Saccharomyces cerevisiae S288C: one gene and its partners. The protein of the gene in region 2 interacts with the protein of the main gene of each other region in a pairwise test. Each region holds a gene or a part of one and is shown on either strand. Other genes may lie near its edges.

Region 1 (6,545 bases), on a different chromosome or scaffold from region 2:
TCAGTTTCTGATTTGTATGAAATCAAAGATCCCAATGCAGCGATTGCAAATACCAATTCTTCGGAACAATAGTAACTTTTAGTGTTAGTATCACCGAAGAAAGCACTTAAGAAAGTTTCTCTATGAATGAAAAGGTAATGTCCCGGGTATAGCCATTTGAAAAAGAGTGACAACGATCTTAAGATAAGGGGACTTCTTGATAAATTTTTTAGGCTGACCTGCTGTTGCTGATATCTTGTGCTTCCATCCGTCTTCTTTTTTATTATAGACAAGGAATTTGATGGATATATACTATTTGTGCCAACTGGTGGAGGGCTCTCGGAAGGCATTTTCTTGGTGAACGCATCAGACTCATTCTCATCGTTGCTTTCAGATGATGGTAGTGCTGATTGTGCTGTTTCGCCATACTTTAAGATTTTTTCATTAGGAGCATCACCATGATCACTGTTGTTTTTTAACGAGGAGAGAGCATTGCTAGCAATTGTGGAAGACGAGGAACTTAATATTTGCAACTGTTCTTTCAAAGACCGAATCTGGCTCTGTAAAGCTTCTACGTAAGTCGTAGAATATCTTTTGTTCCTTAAGTCTTGTTGAGTGAATACACATTCGGTACGAAACTTGATACAGTTTGAACAAGGCTTTTCCATGTTACATTTCCTTCTTCTTCTACGGCAATTCTGGCATGCTAGTTTTCTCTTCCTGGGCACGTTGTTATTATTCTGGTCATTATCTGTCACAGATTTCTTTAAACTGGACGGAAGGGAGGGTGTTACCGTTGTTGTTAAAGGTGGAGGTGAAGGCTCCAACATCATTGCTGCGATTGTGTAGAGCTTCGAGTTTTAAAAGGGCTATTTTTGAAAACTTACGGCGATGTCAACTTGTTGATTTTGCTTTGTTTCGTTCGGGATGGATCGGAACATCCGCTCACATATGAGAGGTTTACACTCTTGATGTATATGTTGCTCTATCTTGTATACGGTTAAGTAAAGTGATGTATTATGTATATGTATGTATTTATATATATATATATATATATGCGTGGTTTTCCATATTGTATTTTTCTTCTCTACTCTATATAGGCATTACTTTGACAGGAACGAGACTAAAGAAGAGGCAAAGTGCTGCGGGTTGTCCAGGAAAAGATTATGGCCAGCATCAGGGACTTCAACGTAGCTAGCCTTTGCCTTGTTTTTTAGCATTGATTCAGTAGTCAAGTAGCCCGCATATTTATCCATCCAATCGTGCTCGCCATACATGAACATGACAGGCGTTGCTGGGTTCAAAAAACGAACGTTGTTTATTATCGGATCTCTAGCGATCAGATTCCTTTCAAACAAATGGGTGAACACCTTGATTGTCTGTGGTTGCACCGTCTGGTTCTTCCCGACAAATGAGTGCAAAAGATAGTCCTTATATATCTGATCCGGAACTTTTACGTATGCGGTGGAGATGTAGTTCGAGCACAATTTGGAGCCTATGGGTCCCATCCACTTCAAAACGTTTAGCTGGTTTTCAAAGATAAACCGCGGTACGTTCAGCTTTCTTGTATAATATCGGGACGATGGGTCGGTAAACGTAAGTGGATAGGTGGTGTTGGGCTCCCATTTGTGGGTGATAGCATGTATACTGTTTTCCACACCAAGAGGAGATATGAGACACAGTTTCTCAATGGAATCAGGGTACTTGAGGGCGTATTTGAATGAAATATATCCTCCGAATGAATGGCCCACCACGTTTATTTTGCGAAGCTTGTTATCCTTCCGCCATTGCTCTATCCTGTCTACGAAGTAGCTTTCGTACTGCTCCAGGTGTGACTTGATGTCCTCTGCTGGGGGGCGCTTCTCTATCACAGGGATTACTACGTCATCTTCTATATGCTTAAACCTGAGAGACTTGATCTTCTTGGTTTTGTTCACTTGCAATGCTGGCGCCTCTGAGGCACCATTGGCTGGCAAGTCGATGGCATATAGATCTTTAATGTTGTCTGACAGGTTCTCAAACGTCCTGTAGAACGCCATCGACGAGGCAGCGTATCCATGGATTAGTACTGTAGGCGTGCACACTTTGTTCGCACGCTTATTGTGGAAATGCCACTGGTTAATCCCGCCTGGAGTCATCGTGTTATTAACGGACCCACGCACAGTGGTGCTATCCATAATTTGCTGCTGCAGGGCCTTCAGGCCCTGCACGCTAGCACACACCTTGGCGTCTGCAGTAGTGGTCTCCTTCTCAGTTTTGCTGCACCATTTGAAAGTGTTTGTCCACATTCTACTGAAGAAAACTACGCTTACGTATGTATATGTCCTGAACAATGAGAGAAAGACCTGCGAATATACTTCTACTACTCCACGTACAAAAAAGAGCACGCTGCTTTATTTATACTTTTGTGCCACAAGAATGATCAACATCAACATAAATATCAACTAGTATCTGCAACACATCTGCTCCACGGAACTAAACCCGTTGAGCAGTGCCCCGTGGAAACGTAAACTATCGCAAATTGGGATTAACAAGCCAAAAACAGCCAAGCAAGATTCACGAAACCGCGCCTCGTTTGGACCCCGAAGGCCCATTTAACGGCCGGCCGTTACAAGCAAGATCGGCAGAGCAAACCACTCCCCAGCACCACAGCACATCACTGCACGAGCAACAATAACTAGAACATGGCAGATAGCGAGGATACCTCTGTGATCCTGCAGGGCATCGACACAATCAACAGCGTGGAGGGCCTGGAAGAAGATGGTTACCTCAGCGACGAGGACACGTCACTCAGCAACGAGCTCGCAGATGCACAGCGTCAATGGGAAGAGTCGCTGCAACAGTTGAACAAGCTGCTCAACTGGGTCCTGCTGCCCCTGCTGGGCAAGTATATAGGTAGGAGAATGGCCAAGACTCTATGGAGTAGGTTCATTGAACACTTTGTATAAGTGTTTGTTGTTTATGTATCCGCATATAGCAGTTATAACAGATAAATGGCACTTTTCGCACACCCGTTGTTTTATCTCCGATAGTACGTGGGCCTTTATTTATGGTCGTTTAACGAAAGAACGGCATCTTGAATTGAGCAGGTATTTAAAAGATAGGACGAGAAACAAGCACATGATCTGTGTCGAAAAAAAGTAGCAAAGAGAAAAAGTAGGAGGATAGGATGAACAGGAAAGTAGCTATCGTAACGGGTACTAATAGTAATCTTGGTCTGAACATTGTGTTCCGTCTGATTGAAACTGAGGACACCAATGTCAGATTGACCATTGTGGTGACTTCTAGAACGCTTCCTCGAGTGCAGGAGGTGATTAACCAGATTAAAGATTTTTACAACAAATCAGGCCGTGTAGAGGATTTGGAAATAGACTTTGATTATCTGTTGGTGGACTTCACCAACATGGTGAGTGTCTTGAACGCATATTACGACATCAACAAAAAGTACAGGGCGATAAACTACCTTTTCGTGAATGCTGCGCAAGGTATCTTTGACGGTATAGATTGGATCGGAGCGGTCAAGGAGGTTTTCACCAATCCATTGGAGGCAGTGACAAATCCGACATACAAGATACAACTGGTGGGCGTCAAGTCTAAAGATGACATGGGGCTTATTTTCCAGGCCAATGTGTTTGGTCCGTACTACTTTATCAGTAAAATTCTGCCTCAATTGACCAGGGGAAAGGCTTATATTGTTTGGATTTCGAGTATTATGTCCGATCCTAAGTATCTTTCGTTGAACGATATTGAACTACTAAAGACAAATGCCTCTTATGAGGGCTCCAAGCGTTTAGTTGATTTACTGCATTTGGCCACCTACAAAGACTTGAAAAAGCTGGGCATAAATCAGTATGTAGTTCAACCGGGCATATTTACAAGCCATTCCTTCTCCGAATATTTGAATTTTTTCACCTATTTCGGCATGCTATGCTTGTTCTATTTGGCCAGGCTGTTGGGGTCTCCATGGCACAATATTGATGGTTATAAAGCTGCCAATGCCCCAGTATACGTAACTAGATTGGCCAATCCAAACTTTGAGAAACAAGACGTAAAATACGGTTCTGCTACCTCTAGGGATGGTATGCCATATATCAAGACGCAGGAAATAGACCCTACTGGAATGTCTGATGTCTTCGCTTATATACAGAAGAAGAAACTGGAATGGGACGAGAAACTGAAAGATCAAATTGTTGAAACTAGAACCCCCATTTAATATATCTCTGCGTACATATGTATATATATATATGTGTGTATATACATGTATGTCTGTATAGAAAACGCATATCAACTGATATATATACACGTGAAGCAAAAAAGGCATTGCCTCTGTCAGAGAAACGAACTATCCTCGTTGCTATAGTGTCTTCTGCACTTATCGCGTAGACTTTCTATTGGCACTCTGTCATGGCATTTAATCTTGTACACATTCTTTAATTCTTCTTGCAAAAGAAGGTACTCTTCATGCAAATGATGACTTTGGAGTGAATTGACTAATCCTGAGTCGTTCCAGAAACTTTTTAAGGCGTTCGTTTCATGATTTATTATGTCATCCAACCGTCTCATATTAGGTTTCGAATTTGTTACAAATTCTCGCCTTGATAACCTCTCCAGGTCTTCTTTGTTGCATCCAGGTACACTCTCTAACAACATTGAACCATTGCCCTCCGGATTCGCACTGTCATATTTATTAGCCTCTTCGCCGCACATGATGTCAATATCGGGTCGATAGCTGTCTATGCCGTCTAGATGGCCCACCTTATGAAACACAAGACAATGTGCTGCCCTTTCGGCTTTCAAAAAACTGTCAATTCTACTTTCCCTTAGCGTATTGCGCTCACAAAACGGTGAATAATCGTATTGCTTTTCTTCCTCGATGTGGCTCAAAGTATTCAGATAGTCGACTTCGTCTACGTCCATATTTATCCCATAGAGATCATCTGCAGTCCTCTCCTCTAGTACTTCGCCTGTTATGGGCATCGAATCATCATTTATTACCCTTGTCGACCTTTTCCGTAGCGGTGTGGTAAAATTGTTAAAGTTGGCTTTGTTGAACCTTGGTGTTTTCCAGGGCGGCAATGACGGTAGTTGAAACAACTTGCCTTCGTTCTTATCACCATTTTGGTTCATCTTACTTTGTCACAGCTATTTCTTTCCTTCCTGAATTTGTCCTTCCAAACCTAGTTCCCTGTTCTTAATTTCCTTTTATTTAGGTTTTTTTTTTTGTTTTGTCAAGAGCCGCGCACAAAATATGGTATTATTATAGAAAAGTTGGACTTAAAAGCTTGAAAAAGCTTAGATTTTATATTCATATGCTGGTATATATGTACGACTAAATAATATAAATTTGATTATAACAATCCACTCAAGGTCAGCTTCTCCAGGAATGGTGAAAGATCTTCACGACGTATTTCAATTATGGAACTTTCAAAATTATCTATTCTCACTTTAGCATCCGTTTCTGCAGTTATTTGTTGAAACGCCATGCTGAAATTATTCAAAATAGGTTTTTTTGTGTGTATCGTGTCTAGTCCGCGAGGATACCTAGGTGTTAACCCAGCAACCAAGTAAGTGTCCGTATTTTCATCTATGCTGGCAAGCACCATGGGCAACAATTGCTTGTCTTCAGATTCCGCACAGCATTCTATGAGCCAATTTCCTAATCTTAATAACGTCAATGGGTTTCTGTACAAGTCTAAATCGGGTCCGTCTTGTAAGACGCATAATCTATAAATTCTTAAATGCTTGATTAATTTCTTCTCCAATATAGCAACCCCGGTATTAAAAATTGCTCTCTGTAAGTCTTGTGCTAGTTGAATGCCACGGTTTAATAGTTCCACCTTTCTGTCATCTAGAGCATCCCAACTGAGCCAAAAATTCGAAACCCATCTTTTTCTCAAATTCGTCAATTTTTGAGCGCTGTTATCTTCTTCTTCCTCTCCATCTGTATCGTCATTATTGTCATTATTTATTTTCACACTATCCTTATCAGTTGAATTACCTACTTCCAAAAGAGCTGTTAGTGCTTCGACAAATTCACTGGCACTTATGGACCCACGATATCCAAGAGTTCTAACAAACCCATCTCTAATTATATCTTGCAACCCATAACGATCCAAATTTTTGTCAAATATTATCCCAAGTTCTCTCTTAATAGAATGATCCATGTATAACCATGTTTCTTGTGCAGTACTTAATGGTATACCCATTCTAGCAAACATCTTATGCAATCTCTTTTTCCCATTTTCATTCCATAGGGATAGTTTGGCATTGACATAGTTAGAATAATAAAAACTGTCGTACAATGAAGAATGCCTCAGTAAGAAAAGGTAGTAATCCGGTTGGATGTTTAACGTCAATGTATCAGGGGTCTTTACTGAGTTTCTACTGCTTGGTGTGAGACGCTTCACTTCATCTTGCAATAAGGGGTATAATCGATTGTAAACTTGAGCATATGCTATATCTAACGAGGTCGTACCAAGTATATTCAACCACAGGTTTGAAAGATTTGTTTCTCCGATAGCAGACAATAATGAATAGATTTGTGCAGATATCGAGTTAACCACTGT
Region 2 (4,035 bases):
ATATCGACACAACAAGATATGGGGTGTATAGTTAAAATCTCTACTGATAGACTTTATTGGTGAGGTTGTGAACAGATTGTTGGCGCTTTCTTCCTTATCGCCTCAATCTGAAAGGATCTAGATTTGCCAATGTTATCACACTACATCTTCCTGGCATTCGTTTTATTGCCATTCAGAGTTTCCGCGTTTTACTTCTATGGTTATGGTGGAGACAGAAAATGCTTCCTGAAGGAACTATCCAAAGACACCCTTTTAAAAGGTTCTTACAATTTGGAAGTTTACGATGATAAGTTGGCAGATTATGCGCTTCCCAGTTATAATGACTATGGCATTGTCATAGATGTGGAAGAAGTCTTTGATAATAATCATAGGGTAGTCCACCAACAGGGCTCTCCTTCCGGTGACTTCAGCTTTCTAGCTTTGGAATCTGGAGAATATAAGATCTGTTTACAGTCTAGGGTAAATAACTGGGTAGGGAAAACCAAAACAAAGTTAGAAATCGAATTTGAAGTCGGTTTTGAAGCAATGTTGGACATGCAAAGAAAAGAAACCTTGGAAAGTTTGCACGGAAAAGTCAGTATATTGAATTCTAAGATCGTGGATATCAGGAGAGAGCAACAACTGATGAGAGAACGTGAAGAATCCTTTAGAGACATATCAGAGTCTGTGAATTCTCGCGCAATGTGGTGGACGGTAACTCAAGTTACTCTTCTCATTATAATTTGTGTATGGCAAATGAAAAGTTTACGCTCGTTTTTTGTTAAGCAGAAAGTATTATGACCGTACATATCAAAAAATTGAATCCTTAGCAGGCATACATGAGAATTTCGTTGTTTCAATGATTTATTTCTATTTATTTACATGCATTACCCCGACGCTTCATAGTGTAGTCATTAAATGAGTGTATACATATATATACTAACCTAGTCATCAAGATGTTTTAGGTGTTTCAATTCTTATTATTCATCTATAAAGACAGAATAAATATATACGGTGCGTATCAGATATGCTATTTCAACATACTATCTTTCGATAATCGGATCAAAAAGCTCCTAACGATTGCCATTACAAACCTTCGTCCATCCAGGCCAACGTTTTGTTAATTCCTTCTTCAATACCAACTCTTGGTGTGTAGCCTAGCAACTTTTTGGCCTTAGCAATGTTGTGATAACGGTATGCACACACAATCTTGACTCTGAATGGAGTCAAACCTGGCTCTTTACCCAGCATCTTGGATACCCATTCTGAAAGATAACCTGCACAAATTGCAACTGGCCTTTTCAAAACAATAACATGTTTATCAATATGACCATCTGCCTTCCACACAGTACGGGCCAAGGCCCAAAAATAGGTGGGGGTATCATTGGTAATGAAAAAAGTTTCACCCGAGACAGCAGTTCTTGTTTTTGGATCGAGAAGTTTCTGTGCAGCTAACACATGCGCGTCAGCAACATTTCCAGCATAAGTCCAATCAAATAGATTGTTATTATCACCAATTTGGAACTTCGACTGCCCCAATTTCGCAACCTGTCTTAGACCAGGTACTAATTGCCTATCACCTGGGCCAAAAATACCAGCTGGACGAAGAGCAACAGTATAGAAATCACTGCTTGGATCATTCGCCTTCAAGACCATATCTTCGGCGATAGCTTTAGTCTCATTGTACGCATCCATAGGAACTTCTGGGATTGGCCAGGTTTCGTCTGCATTGTGCACATCTTGCCCATTAAAAATAACACCAGCAGAGGAAGTATATACAAGTATATTAACGCCACATTTCTTGCACATATCTATCACGTTACGGGTTCCCTTAACATTCACTATGTCATAAATATCTGGATTTTGACCATGCATTGGAGAAGCACAATGAACAACAACATTTGCTTTACTTTCGTTAATTGCGTTTTCCATATCATCAGGTGATGTTAAATCACCCTTATGAAATTTTATGTCGTCTACATTAAAAGTAAACTGTTTTGAAAGTTTTTCAGGGAGATCTCTAACATCAAAAATGTGGATGTCTGGCTTAGGATTAATATCAAAAAATTGCTGAATTAAGTGCAATCCAAGAAAACCAGAACCACCGATAATTAAAACTGAATCTATCTTTGACATATTTATTTTTGTTTGCCCTTCCAGGTAGAGTTGCAAATAAAATTGGACAAAATTGACAATCTATATTGTTGTCTATTCTATTTTATAGCTGCAGCATAATCTTTTCCTTGCAGGCTTATATGAGATTTTTAAACGATACCATTTCTCGAGAGAACAATAAACGATCTATAGGGACTATCGGACCGAGAAATATAAAATCCACAAACACCGACAATAAAATAGCCTCTAAAAAAAAAAAAAGGTCCTGGAGAAAGCAATATTCATACCGCATTAACTTTCATTGAACCGAAGATCTACAAATATCCTTTCCTTGCATTATAATTATCCAATACTTTGTCGTCAATATTCTTTCAAAGAAAGAAAAAATATGAAATCAAAATTAAACATTTTTCTGTAATTTCCGTAATACAAAAAACTATTTTCTTTTCGGAAGGCAAAAACAAAAATTATAATAAAAATAAAAATATGTATAATATAATTTTTATCTTCTAACTTTTTATTTATTGAATTTTTATATAGTAAATATAACACGTGATATATTTGAAATGTGATTATATTATATATATTGATGTTTACATATTTTTTATGTAGTACAATTAATTTTCAAATTTATCGAAGCTCTTAAAAAGCTCAAGAAGCAAATTTCCATGAACTACATTCAAAATTTGCGTAGCACCTAAATTCGTTACTCAAACCATTAGAATGTTCAGGAAGAAAAGTTGTTATTCTTGTGTCAGAATAAACTTTGGATATGACTTCAGACATTCTTTCACCAGTACAACTTATGAGGCGGTGCTTAAAAACTCCTTTCTTAGTTTTAGAGTTGTCATTTGGCGCTAATAAACACTTTGCAGTGATAGAGGCTATTTTATATCAATGAATAACAGTTAGTAAGATGAAAAGATACTGGAAAAAAGATTAAAAAATGAGTAGGGATATGTTTATGATATACATACACTTTGTTTGACAATCTTCATTTAAAAAAGGTGGGTCAATTAACAATCTATCAACTTTTCCTTTAATTTCATCACTGAAGTCCAGTGGTTTATTGTAATCATAAAAAAAGAAATGATCTCTTCCAGCTAACAACTCGAATCTCTTATCAAATTCGAACAAGTAGATATGTTCGGTTGGAATTTCATTAGTAGGTTTCTTTTGAATGGCAGCATAGACGGATGGCGCACTAACTATTGCAATTACAGTGTTTTCGTCCGCACCTTCCAATATGGCATCTGCTAAAATTGCGGCTGTGTCATCGCTGTACCAAAACTGGGAAAGCTGCCAATCTTCCTTGAAAAGCTTCATCCCTTCTTCTTTTTTTTTCTTTTGGAAGTCTTCATCCGTTTCGTCGTAAAGCTTTTGAAAGGCTTCTTGATGTTGTTGTTCCTCTCTTTTGAATTCTTCAAGGGCAGCGAGGGCATTAGCAGAAAGTGTCCTATTAAGTTTCGTGTTAGTTAGTAATTCTACGTTACTGTGTTGAAAATATCCTGTACTTACAATTCATAATCGGAGTCGGAGTCGGAGTCGGACATTTTATCAGTGATTCTTTCGGTTTCATTAAGATGTAAAGTGACTGATTAGTATATTAGTCAAGATTAATATTTTTTTTTTTAGTTCCTCCAGTTCAAAAAAATTTTGTTAGATTTAACCGGCATAAGGTTCAGCGATACAGACGAAAAAAGAAGCCTCTAAATGAATGGGAAATTATATATACATGTATATTATGCAGTTGATATTCTATGAGATGACAATACTAAACTATATACCTATATACATTGCCCATCTTGGATTTTGCTGCCTTACAGATGACAATATAAGTTATTTAGAGATTGAGGGTTACTAGTGCATAATATTTGCGTGATTTCCGAAAGTACCTCTGAAGGTCCCATGTTGTACACCAAATATTATAAAACAGTCTAT
Region 3 (6,281 bases), 350 kb from region 2:
ACATATCACTCAAGAGTTGATAGACCGTGGCCATGCAAGACGTATGGGCCACTTGGAAAACTACTTTGCTGTTTTGAGTAGGCAGAAAATGTACTCGAATTTTACTGTTTACGCGGAATTGAATAAAGGTGTTAATAAGAGACAACTAATGCTTGTCTTGAAAGTATTACTTCAAAAATACTCAACTCTTGCGCATACAATCATTCCTAAGCATTATCCTCATCATGAAGCGTACTACTCTAGCGAAGAGTACCTTAGTAAACCTTTTCCACAGCATGATTTCATAAAGGTGATTTCTCATCTTGAATTCGATGACTTGATTATGAATAATCAACCAGAATACAGAGAAGTCATGGAGAAAATCTCAGAACAGTTCAAAAAGGATGATTTCAAAGTCACCAATAGGTTAATCGAATTGATTAGCCCTGTAATCATACCTCTGGGTAATCCGAAGAGGCCTAATTGGAGATTGATTTGTTTACCAGGTAAGGATACTGATGGGTTTGAAACGTGGAAAAACTTCGTTTATGTCACTAACCACTGCGGCTCCGACGGTGTCAGTGGATCGAATTTTTTCAAAGATTTAGCTCTACTCTTTTGTAAAATCGAAGAAAAAGGGTTTGATTATGATGAAGAGTTCATCGAAGATCAAGTCATCATTGACTATGATCGAGACTACACTGAAATTTCTAAATTGCCAAAACCGATTACGGATCGTATTGACTACAAGCCAGCATTGACTTCATTACCCAAATTCTTTTTAACAACCTTCATTTATGAACATTGTAATTTTAAAACCTCCAGCGAATCTACACTTACAGCTAGATATAGCCCCTCTAGTAATGCTAATGCTAGTTACAATTACTTGTTGCATTTCAGTACTAAGCAAGTAGAACAAATCAGAGCTCAGATCAAGAAAAATGTTCACGATGGGTGCACCCTAACACCCTTCATTCAAGCGTGCTTTCTTGTAGCCCTGTATAGACTGGATAAGCTGTTCACAAAATCTCTTCTCGAGTATGGGTTCGATGTGGCTATTCCAAGCAACGCAAGAAGGTTTTTACCAAACGATGAAGAGTTAAGAGATTCTTATAAATACGGCTCCAACGTTGGAGGTTCGCATTACGCCTATCTAATCTCCTCATTCGACATTCCCGAAGGTGACAATGACAAGTTTTGGAGTCTTGTCGAATACTACTATGACCGCTTTTTAGAATCGTACGACAACGGTGACCACTTGATTGGTCTGGGGGTCCTACAACTTGATTTTATCGTTGAAAACAAGAATATAGACAGCCTTCTTGCCAACTCTTATTTGCACCAGCAAAGAGGCGGTGCAATCATCAGTAATACAGGACTTGTCTCGCAAGATACGACCAAGCCGTACTACGTTCGGGATTTAATCTTCTCGCAGTCTGCAGGCGCCTTGAGATTTGCGTTCGGCCTAAACGTTTGCTCCACAAACGTGAATGGTATGAACATGGACATGAGCGTGGTTCAGGGCACTCTACGGGATCGTGGCGAATGGGAATCGTTCTGCAAGCTCTTCTACCAAACCATCGGCGAATTTGCGTCGCTTTAATGCGATACTGCCGTAGCGGGCCTTCGTATAGCTCGGCCGAGCTCGTACAAAAGGCAAGCAGTGTATCGGACAGAGCTGATATAACACAATACGCTCGTAGTCGATGCATGCCGTGGCTGCTCTCGGTCGGGTATAAGTCTTAGACAATAGTCTTACCTCGCATGTATAATAAATCTTTTGTATTTAATCTATTATATGTTTCTATGCTTTTTTTTCCTATTGTTGTTTGCTTTTCCTTTTCCTTATTTCTTTCTAGCTTCTAATTTTCTTTCTTTTTTTTTTTTTTTTCATTGAAAATTATATATATATATATATATCAGAACAATTGTCCAGTATTGAACAATACAGGTTATTTCGAACAATTGAAAAAAAAAAATCACAGAAAAACATATCGAGAAAAGGGTCATGTCTGCTGTTAACGTTGCACCTGAATTGATTAATGCCGACAACACAATTACCTACGATGCGATTGTCATCGGTGCTGGTGTTATCGGTCCATGTGTTGCTACTGGTCTAGCAAGAAAGGGTAAGAAAGTTCTTATCGTAGAACGTGACTGGGCTATGCCTGATAGAATTGTTGGTGAATTGATGCAACCAGGTGGTGTTAGAGCATTGAGAAGTCTGGGTATGATTCAATCTATCAACAACATCGAAGCATATCCTGTTACCGGTTATACCGTCTTTTTCAACGGCGAACAAGTTGATATTCCATACCCTTACAAGGCCGATATCCCTAAAGTTGAAAAATTGAAGGACTTGGTCAAAGATGGTAATGACAAGGTCTTGGAAGACAGCACTATTCACATCAAGGATTACGAAGATGATGAAAGAGAAAGGGGTGTTGCTTTTGTTCATGGTAGATTCTTGAACAACTTGAGAAACATTACTGCTCAAGAGCCAAATGTTACTAGAGTGCAAGGTAACTGTATTGAGATATTGAAGGATGAAAAGAATGAGGTTGTTGGTGCCAAGGTTGACATTGATGGCCGTGGCAAGGTGGAATTCAAAGCCCACTTGACATTTATCTGTGACGGTATCTTTTCACGTTTCAGAAAGGAATTGCACCCAGACCATGTTCCAACTGTCGGTTCTTCGTTTGTCGGTATGTCTTTGTTCAATGCTAAGAATCCTGCTCCTATGCACGGTCACGTTATTCTTGGTAGTGATCATATGCCAATCTTGGTTTACCAAATCAGTCCAGAAGAAACAAGAATCCTTTGTGCTTACAACTCTCCAAAGGTCCCAGCTGATATCAAGAGTTGGATGATTAAGGATGTCCAACCTTTCATTCCAAAGAGTCTACGTCCTTCATTTGATGAAGCCGTCAGCCAAGGTAAATTTAGAGCTATGCCAAACTCCTACTTGCCAGCTAGACAAAACGACGTCACTGGTATGTGTGTTATCGGTGACGCTCTAAATATGAGACATCCATTGACTGGTGGTGGTATGACTGTCGGTTTGCATGATGTTGTCTTGTTGATTAAGAAAATAGGTGACCTAGACTTCAGCGACCGTGAAAAGGTTTTGGATGAATTACTAGACTACCATTTCGAAAGAAAGAGTTACGATTCCGTTATTAACGTTTTGTCAGTGGCTTTGTATTCTTTGTTCGCTGCTGACAGCGATAACTTGAAGGCATTACAAAAAGGTTGTTTCAAATATTTCCAAAGAGGTGGCGATTGTGTCAACAAACCCGTTGAATTTCTGTCTGGTGTCTTGCCAAAGCCTTTGCAATTGACCAGGGTTTTCTTCGCTGTCGCTTTTTACACCATTTACTTGAACATGGAAGAACGTGGTTTCTTGGGATTACCAATGGCTTTATTGGAAGGTATTATGATTTTGATCACAGCTATTAGAGTATTCACCCCATTTTTGTTTGGTGAGTTGATTGGTTAACTACAGCTTATAAGGGAGAGAGGATAGGAACCGTCAAACATTAAGCTGCACCTTTTTTTTTTATTACAGAAGTCGGCTTGGAAGGCTTGTATAGTACATTACGATAAACACATCTTATTTTTATTTATTACTTATTTATTTTACATATTTTCAAAAAAATTCACATATCATTTATTATTAACCGAAGTGTTTTATACTTTTTGTTCTTTCCTTAAAAATGCCTCCAACAGAAAAGGAAAAATGGCTTGATATGCTTCAAAATATGCATTGAGATTCATATTCGGTTATCAATTAACGATATTACTTCCTTAAGTGATATTAAATCAAGCTTGCCGGATTCTGCAGTCAGAATTATACATAATAGTATTTGTGCTCTCGTAAATCCTTTCAGAATTACACCATAGTAGTCTTTGTGAATGTTCTACTTATTAGAATAGATTATTGCTAGTTTATCTCACTTTTCATTCCCCATATCCCTTTTTTTGCTCATCCCCCGGGGTATTTTATCAAGATAAAATTTTATATACATGCAGTGCGCGATAACTCCTAGAGAGGCAGTAATAGCAAAACAAAGACAGTATAAGCATTATTTGGGTATGGAAAGACCATTGTGGGTACGTTGGTTGAAAGTCTATGCAATTGGTGGCGCTATTATTGGAAGCGGGTTTCTGCTTTTCAAGTACACAACGCCAACAGATCAACAGTTAATCAGCCAGCTTTCCCCAGAATTACGTTTACAATATGAGAGGGAGAAAAAACTACGTCAGTCGGAGCAGCAGGCTTTGATGAAAATTGTTAAGGAAACTTCTCAAAGTGACGATCCAATTTGGAAGACGGGCCCCCTTCAATCACCTTGGGAAAGGAACGGTGATAACGTTCAAAGCAGAGATCACTTTGCTAAGGTGAGGGCGGAGGAGGTGCAAAAAGAAGAGTTGGCTAGGATCAGAAATGAACTGTCTCAGCTAAGATCTGAAACGGAGGAGAAAACAAAGGAAATAGTCCAGGATAAGCAGGTTAAAAGCTGGTGGCGCTTCTGGTAGATGGGTCGGGTCACTCAATTAGGAAGGGCAGCTTGAACTTTTGCATCCTAAAACATACGTCTGTGTCATTTATGATATATTATTTATTTGTACACTGTAAATAGGTTTAAAAATATAACTTCATACTTATTTTTAGCTATTTTAGTTCCCATACTTGGGGATGGAAAAAACATTGCGCAAGCCCGGAATCGAACCGGGGGCCCAACGATGGCAACGTTGGATTTTACCACTAAACCACTTGCGCTTGTTATTTATATGAGATTATTGCATCATGCAATGGGGTAATGTCAAGGTTCTTGACAATCCTAATATAAACAGTCTTAGGGAAGTAACCAGTTGTCAAAACGGTTTATCAGCTTGATTCACGGGATCTTACTTATCCTATATATTATATAAAATATGGATCATACTAAATGGTGGAAGCGCGGAATCTTGGATCTAAACCAATTGTTCAGATACTTATACGTTAGAGTAGGTTAGCTAAGGAAGGCAGAGTTTTATTTTCATGTTGCTCATTCTGTTCGTTTTGCTGTAAGGTTGTTTCATATGTGTTTTATGAACGTTTAGGATGATGTATTGTCATACTGAGGTATCCCATTCTGAGATACAACAGAGAAGGTTCCTTTATACTTACTACACTAGGTACCACTATTATAATTTCGAGATTTCATTGTCATTCGGGTTTATTTATTCATTTGAAGCCCAGAATGACAATTTTTATGAACGGAGCTCTTCAAATTACATTATAAAAGTATATACGAATATACCATGAAAGTAACACCTTCCGGTTCTCACTAAAAAACCTATTTTCAGCATTTATTTCTACTACAAGGAAAATGAGTCCGTTTAGTCATGCAAAATCTCTGCTCCGTACTACAGTTCTCGATGCTGATCTTGTTTTTTCATGTTTCTTTAAAATCTATTCATTTATACTATTTCGCGAATAAAGAAACTACATCTTCATCATCAATCCTGTGGTTTAAGCCGCACTTCTGAGGAGAATGTTTGGCAGAAGAACCCCAAACCAATGCGTATTTGAACTTATCTTTGAAATCCCTGTGGATACCATGACATAAGTCACCAATAGTGGAATTATTTCTTACCACTAGAGGATCATCAAATACTGGTCTAACACCTCTCTTCTTTGTATACACACGACTCAAGTTCAGCTGGTACCAAATTTCTTCAACGACGTCTTGTAATCCCAAATCCATTTCACAGGACATAACAACGGTGTTTGGCTCTCTGGCAAGTTTATCCACCTCTTCTAATGATACTGCATCTATCTTATTATACACATAAAGACATTTGACATAATTTCTATGTTGTTCGTTAATAACATCGATAAAATCATCAATCGTACATTGGTCATCTCTTACCAGAACTTCTGCATTATGGATACGATAATCTCTCAAGATCATTTTGATTGCCTGTTCGGTTAAATTGGTCTTTGGAGGGGAGGTAAACGTAACTTTCACGCCACCAGTTTCTTTTTTCTTATAGTAAATATTTGGTTTCTCTTTATTAAGCCTGATGCCTACATTTTCCAGCTCCTTCTCCAAAGATGCTCTTTGATGTTCACTCTTTGTGGCATCTAAAACCATTAATACTAGATCTGCGGTCCTTGCTGTTGCAACAACTTGCCTACCACGACCTTTACCCTGCGAAGCACCATAAATAATACCTGGAAGATCCACAATTTGGATTTCTGCACCTTGGTACTTCAATACACCAGGAACGGATGTCAATGTCGTGAAAGCATA
Region 4 (5,948 bases), on a different chromosome or scaffold from region 2:
TGTAAAGTAGGTTACGCTAATGGAGAAGAGTCTAAAAAGGATAGCCCCTCTAGTGTCTCTTATAAGAGAGTTTGTGGTGGTGACACAGATTTTGCGGAGGTTTTACAAGTATCCTATAATCCCAAAGTGATAACTTTGAGAGAATTAACTGATTTCTTTTTTAGAATCCATGATCCTACTACATCTAATTCACAAGGACCTGATAAAGGTACACAGTATCGCAGTGGATTGTTCGCTCATTCAGATGCTGATTTAAAAGAATTAGCCAAAATAAAGGAAGAATGGCAACCAAAATGGGGTAATAAGATTGCCACAGTTATTGAACCAATCAAGAACTTTTACGATGCTGAAGAATACCACCAGTTATATTTAGATAAGAATCCACAGGGATATGCATGCCCTACTCATTATCTGAGAGAAATGTAGCTTTTTTAGTGTACGTGCCCTTATTTATGAAAAAAAGTCAAGTGCATGAATGAAATATTTACTGTTGAAGAATTTATTATATATATAGGTATACAGGATCTATCTTTTCGATAACGTAACTTAGTATCACATGTATTAGTATTAATACTGTGATAGGATTGTTAGCTGTTGTTTTTATATTTGCAATTTATTTATGATCTTTTTTGATGATCAAACCGTTGAGTTTTTGAACATTAAAAAATAGTGAGAAAGAAGAACTGAAATGGGAATTGAATTGATCAATATCTGTAGTGGTCGGCCTTGAATGGACCTTCTTCTGGAATACCCAAGTATTCAGATTGGACTTTACTCAATTTAGTCAATCTAACACCCAAGTTGCCCAAGTGGAACTTAGCGACAGCTTCATCCAAGATCTTTGGCAAAACGTGGACACCAACTTCGAATGGGCCTGTCTTTTGGAATTCAATGTGCTTTTCTCTGAAAGACTTATCGTTAGACTTGAACAAAGCAATTTGAGCTAAGACTTGGTTAGAGAAGGAACAAGACATAACGAAAGATGAGTGACCAGTAGCACAACCCAAGTTAACTAATCTACCGTTAGCCAACAAGATGACGTGTCTACCAGAAGACAACAAGTAACGGTCGACTTGTGGTTTGATGTTAATACATTCTTTAGCGTTAGCCTTTAACCAGGCGACATCAATTTCGATATCGAAATGGCCAATGTTACAAACAATGGCATCTTCTGGCATGTTGATGAAATGTTCACCGTTGATAATATCTCTACAACCAGTGGTGGTAACGAAAACTTGACCAATGTGGGATGCATCTTCCATGGTAACAACTTGGTAGCCTTCCATGGCAGCTTGTAAAGCGTTGATTGGGTCAATTTCGGTAACCAAGACACGAGCACCCATTCCTCTTAAGGCAGCAGCACAACCCTTACCGACATCACCGTAACCAGCAACAACGGCAACCTTACCAGCCAACATGACATCAGTGGCTCTCTTAATACCGTCGACTAAGGATTCTCTACAGCCGTACAAGTTGTCAAACTTGGACTTAGTGACGGAGTCGTTAACGTTAATGGCAGGAACCTTTAACTTGCCTTCTTTGACCATTCTGTATAAGTGGTGAACACCGGTGGTAGTTTCTTCGGAAAGACCAAAGCAGTCTTCCAGCATTTCAGGGTGCTTTTCATGAACTAAAGTGGTTAAATCACCACCATCATCTAAGATCAAGTTCAATTTCTTGTTGTCCTTGAAGGCAAACAATTGTTGTTCAATACACCACAAATACTCTTCTTCAGTTTCACCCTTCCAGGCAAAAACTGGAACACCGGAAGCGGCAATAGCAGCGGCGGCATGATCTTGAGTCGAATAGATGTTACAAGAGGACCAGGTAACTTCGGCACCCAAAGCAACTAAAGTTTCAATTAAAACAGCAGTTTGAATGGTCATGTGCAAACAACCAGCAATACGGGCGCCTTTCAAAGGTTGGACGTCACCGTAAGCCTTTCTGATGGCCATCAAACCTGGCATTTCATGTTCAGCCAATTCGATTTCCTTTCTACCGAAGGCAGCCAAAGAGATATCAGCGATTTTGTAGTTTTGAGCTGGAGCAGACATTGGGAATTGTTCTTTTTGTCAGTTGGGTTATTTCGAGGAGAAGAGGATTTTCAGAAAGAAAGAAAAACAAATAGGAATGGAATCATGGAGTTAATAAACCACGTTACTAAATAAGAGATTGGAAAATCTAAAATACGGCTTCGAGGTCGTTTAATTTTCTTTTTCCTCTGAAAATTTTCTTTCTTTTTCGGCCTTAGCCTGTGAAAATTTCGGCCGAAAAAAAAGCCAACGAGATCACGTGCACAGAAATATCTGCGTTAGAGGAGAGAGGTAGGGATACTTACAGAAATGAAGCCAAATTGGCAGCTTTTTGAGAAATAATCATGAATGATAAACAATTGCTGTTAAATAATGTACGGAAGGTTTGGATAAAGGTTGCTATAGGCATTATATAAATAAATCATCTCTATATAATTTTTTTTACAGGATATGCTTGCCCTTACATCAGAATTACCAAGCAACACCAGTGTAGTATTCTCTTTGTTTGTACATCCAAACCAAAGAGGTGGTTGAGACAACCAATGGACCCATGAATCCCTTTCCCAACTTACAAGTTCTAAAGATCAATAATTCAGAGCCGAAGTGGAATAGGGCAACCATATAAGACATGAAGACCAATTCGAAAATGTGTGGTTCATTCAAGTACATAGCCCCATAGAATCTGATAACACAGGAAATAAAGGTCCAAGTACCGAAAGTTCTTGCACTCAAATGGGTTGTTTCAGTGGGTTTTCTTTCGTAGACTTTACGTGTCAATTCTAAACCAGAAACGTAAGTCTGGATAGAATTGAAGACTGATACAATGGAAATGAAAAGTAACCATTTTGGTAAGTAACCTTTTGGCATTGCTGCCAAGGTGGTCTTGGTTGTAGTTATTACGTCTTGTAGGCTGAACATTATCTGATACTTTAGTGTATTTGAATCCTTCGATACTATGGTCTAGCTAGTGTCAAGAATATAAAAACCTGAAATTAGTCAATGCGTTTACGTCAAAAATAGTAGCAATAGTAAAGCAAAACAACAGGCTTGTTCAGCTTAGTTTTATATACGGGGGTAGAGAATACAATGGATCGTACCTTTTTTTTTGTTTCCTGTTCGTTCCGTCCCCGAACGAAAAAATCATAAAATAGAAGTTTCCTATCGGTAATACCGTAAAGTTTAATTCAGTTCGTATAAGATTAGGTTAATCATGGGCAAGTCCGGAAGAAGCGTTTTAATGTAGGTCTGTTGGGGAAGATGTTGTGTTCACTGTAATTTTCAACTGAAGTTGTTGTCCCCGAAATGAAAGAGCTTTCGATATTTTTGTGTTTTATAATGCGCCTCCTACTGCAAAAGAAAAATTAAATGTTTTCTGTCTCATTGAACCATCTTGACAATCGAAAGCGCGCTATCAAATTTCTTTCGGCAGTAATTAATAAGGCCGCCTGTATATATTTCCTTTTCTTCTGAAGCGATATTTCATGAGCCGGAAATTTTTCCAGGAAAGGTTTTAAGTGCTGCCATTCAATGCTTTCAAATGTCTCGAGCAATGATAGAATAACTATCTTGAGTATTTTCAATAGACCCCCTAACTCTTTTTCTGGGACACCGCTTATTACACTGTAAAAGTTCTTTAAGTAGGTTTTCTTCAAACTCAATTCTCTTTCGAGGTATACTCGACAGTACGCCTTTTTCCGGTTGATGCATATTAGTTTATGCTTCGATACAAATCTAATAAGTACATGTATCAGACTTTCGATGATGATAAGTATGTGTTCAATTAATTTCAGAACAGATACGTATTTTAATATCTGCGGTTCAAATGTTTGGTTTGTCTTGATTTTGATGAGTTGAATGTTAATAATAGAGTAAATAAGGGTAAAATGCAACGAACACAAGCGCTTGTAGTCAACTTTATCACATAAATGTTTGCCATCTCCCTGGTCGTAAAAGTTTTGAAGCCATTTTGGATCGTTTTGGTTCTTCTTCAATAAAATTCTATTAAACAGAAACTTGGCGATGAAATTGAAAACATGAACGTCTATCAGTGTCCTCTTAAAAGAAGAATCAGAATCTATGCGATGCGAATAATGAGAAACTAACAAGATTTGGAGTGTTTGAAACACTTGCGATAACCCTCTAAAGTCAATTTCTTTTGTTTTTAAGCTCAGGATTTTTAGCAGAATTTTATATCTCGGTAAAAACCAGTTGTTTATATCAGCAGTTGATACATCTTTGCTAAATGATTGCAGCTCCTTTAAACCAACTGCATCTTCGAAGCTTTTGTACTTATTCTGGCAAAGGAAATTGTATATAGGTTCCAGATGAGCAAACAGTGATTTATTATTCAAAAATCCATTTTCGAAAGGCGCAACCCATTTGTATATATGTTTTGAGTTTTCCCGAGGATTTATTTTTAAATTTTTTTCACTCTTGAGAGCACCTACATCTTCGACATCTCCTTTCTTTCTTGAAAGTGCCCTCTTCCACAACGTAGGATTCCTGGATTGAATTAAAGCAAAACACTGTCATAGATAATATTCGAGGAGATTACACCTCTTACTAAAAGTTAGTAAAGAGAAAATAGGTTAAGGATGTGACAATTTCACGTACGATTATCCAGTCAACTTCCGATGTTTCCTTTTGTTCCATATCTTCCAGTTTGCCTCTACTCATGTCCTTACTCTTCTAAAAGATTATTTAATGAAACTGTTTCACAACTACAAGATGTTTGTTATGTTTTCTTTTACAAGTCGGAAACATTTAGCCGCCCAGCAATATATATGACTCCGAAAGAAAATGAAAGGAAATACATACATAGTAAAATAAATCGTTTAAACATAAATAATCGTACAGAGGAAAACATTAAGGAAGGAGAGTCAAACTAATGTACTGGGAATTTGGATCTCCCATAAGAAGTATGCGCAATACTTTTATTCATCATATAGACTGGAGCTGCGTATCATTTCTTCAATCATTTTCAGAAACCCGTTAACATCACTATCCTTGTTTTGAAGGCTTTGATAACTATTATTACCACCATTAATTGTGCATTCTTGCATGTGCAACCTCGAAATTTTCTTCATTTTTTGAACCAATTTTTCGTAATTTTCAATTTTTTTCTTCATCATTGTGTTTTCTTTGCTTATTTGGTCAAATTCCCTTTGAAGTTGTAATTGTGACATTTTCTTTCTCTGTCGACACTTGGAAGCGGCAATTCTGTTTCGTTCTAGTAGCCTTGCACGCTTCCAAGCTTTAGCACCGTCTTTCAAGCCTGCAGTATTGTTCTCTATTTTTTGGGGTCTAGCTTCCTGCTTTATTTGGAAGGTTGCTGTAGTGTGCATAGAGGAGAAGGGCGCGGTATGTACGTCTTTCTCACTATTAATATTGTTTTTCAGTGCAGAAGTGGCATCCTTGTATTGTGGTTTTGAGTTGGCATGTGTTAAATTGACATCAGGGCATTTCGATTCGTATGGAAGGCTGCTTGAAATATTCAACTCGGCATTTTGGCAGGAATTATTAACAGTGTGGTGATTAACGCCATGGGAAATTGAAGAATGGACGGATTGATTTTCGATATTATGATCATTAATGTTTTGGCAGGAAGAAGAAGAGGAAACGGAAGAATTAGAGGCTGGAGTACATGGATGCACATTCAATTGAGCGTTTTTCCATGCCTTAGTTTGCATTTGAGCTTGTAATCGGAGTTGCATGTTGATGTAAGCCTGATTCATTGTGGAATCGCCAGATGGGATAGAAGGCGTGGCAGAAGGAATGTCACAAGTGGCTGCTACTGCGGGTATGTTAAGCTTTATATTGCTATCATACGGGGTCATTGCAGCGTAGATATTCTTGCTACCTGTTTGAGGTGCAGCTTCGGGTATGACTGTAGCTTGTTCGTGTGGTTGTGGCACG

The links.
Region 1: the proteins of ERG26 (region 2) and ERG27 interact in a protein complementation assay, tested with the Saccharomyces cerevisiae proteins (one study listed by BioGRID).
Region 3: the proteins of ERG26 (region 2) and ERG1 interact in a protein complementation assay, tested with the Saccharomyces cerevisiae proteins (one study listed by BioGRID).
Region 4: the proteins of ERG26 (region 2) and ERG28 interact in binary tests that used the Saccharomyces cerevisiae proteins (3 or more experiments, as listed by UniProt).

Annotation. Positions count from the first base shown.
Region 1 is NC_001144.5:338,662-345,206, forward strand, and holds ERG27 (3-keto-steroid reductase), read left to right. Parts: upstream 1-3,148; coding exon 3,149-4,192; downstream 4,193-6,545. Other genes in the region: CHA4 (Cha4p), read right to left, coding at 1-812; lysophosphatidic acid acyltransferase ICT1, read right to left, coding at 1,083-2,267; MIM2 (Mim2p), read left to right, coding at 2,664-2,927; APC9 (anaphase promoting complex subunit 9), read right to left, coding at 4,309-5,106; DNA replication initiation factor CDC45, read right to left, coding at 5,328-6,545. UniProt on the Saccharomyces cerevisiae protein: 3-keto-steroid reductase; part of the third module of ergosterol biosynthesis pathway that includes the late steps of the pathway. ERG27 is a catalytic component of the C-4 demethylation complex that catalyze the reduction of the keto group on the C-3.
Region 2 is NC_001139.9:494,388-498,422, forward strand, and holds ERG26 (sterol-4-alpha-carboxylate 3-dehydrogenase (decarboxylating)), read right to left. Parts: upstream 2,116-4,035; coding exon 1,066-2,115; downstream 1-1,065. Other genes in the region: ERP6 (Erp6p), read left to right, coding at 130-780; EFM5 (protein-lysine N-methyltransferase), read right to left, coding at 2,746-2,978, 3,072-3,550, 3,613-3,647. UniProt on the Saccharomyces cerevisiae protein: Sterol-4-alpha-carboxylate 3-dehydrogenase; part of the third module of ergosterol biosynthesis pathway that includes the late steps of the pathway.
Region 3 is NC_001139.9:844,130-850,410, reverse strand, and holds ERG1 (squalene monooxygenase), read left to right. Parts: upstream 1-1,987; coding exon 1,988-3,478; downstream 3,479-6,281. Other genes in the region: ATF2 (alcohol O-acetyltransferase), read left to right, coding at 1-1,582; YGR174W-A (uncharacterized protein), read right to left, coding at 3,670-3,756; CBP4 (Cbp4p), read left to right, coding at 4,006-4,518; RBG2 (Rbg2p), read right to left, coding at 5,451-6,281. UniProt on the Saccharomyces cerevisiae protein: Squalene epoxidase; part of the third module of ergosterol biosynthesis pathway that includes the late steps of the pathway. ERG1 catalyzes the epoxidation of squalene into 2,3-epoxysqualene.
Region 4 is NC_001137.3:235,066-241,013, forward strand, and holds ERG28 (Erg28p), read right to left. Parts: upstream 2,952-5,948; coding exon 2,505-2,951; downstream 1-2,504. Other genes in the region: MXR1 (peptide-methionine-S-sulfoxide reductase), read left to right, coding at 1-426; SAH1 (adenosylhomocysteinase), read right to left, coding at 705-2,054; MEI4 (Mei4p), read right to left, coding at 3,395-4,558, 4,647-4,709; ACA1 (Aca1p), read right to left, coding at 4,967-5,948. UniProt on the Saccharomyces cerevisiae protein: Part of the third module of ergosterol biosynthesis pathway that includes the late steps of the pathway.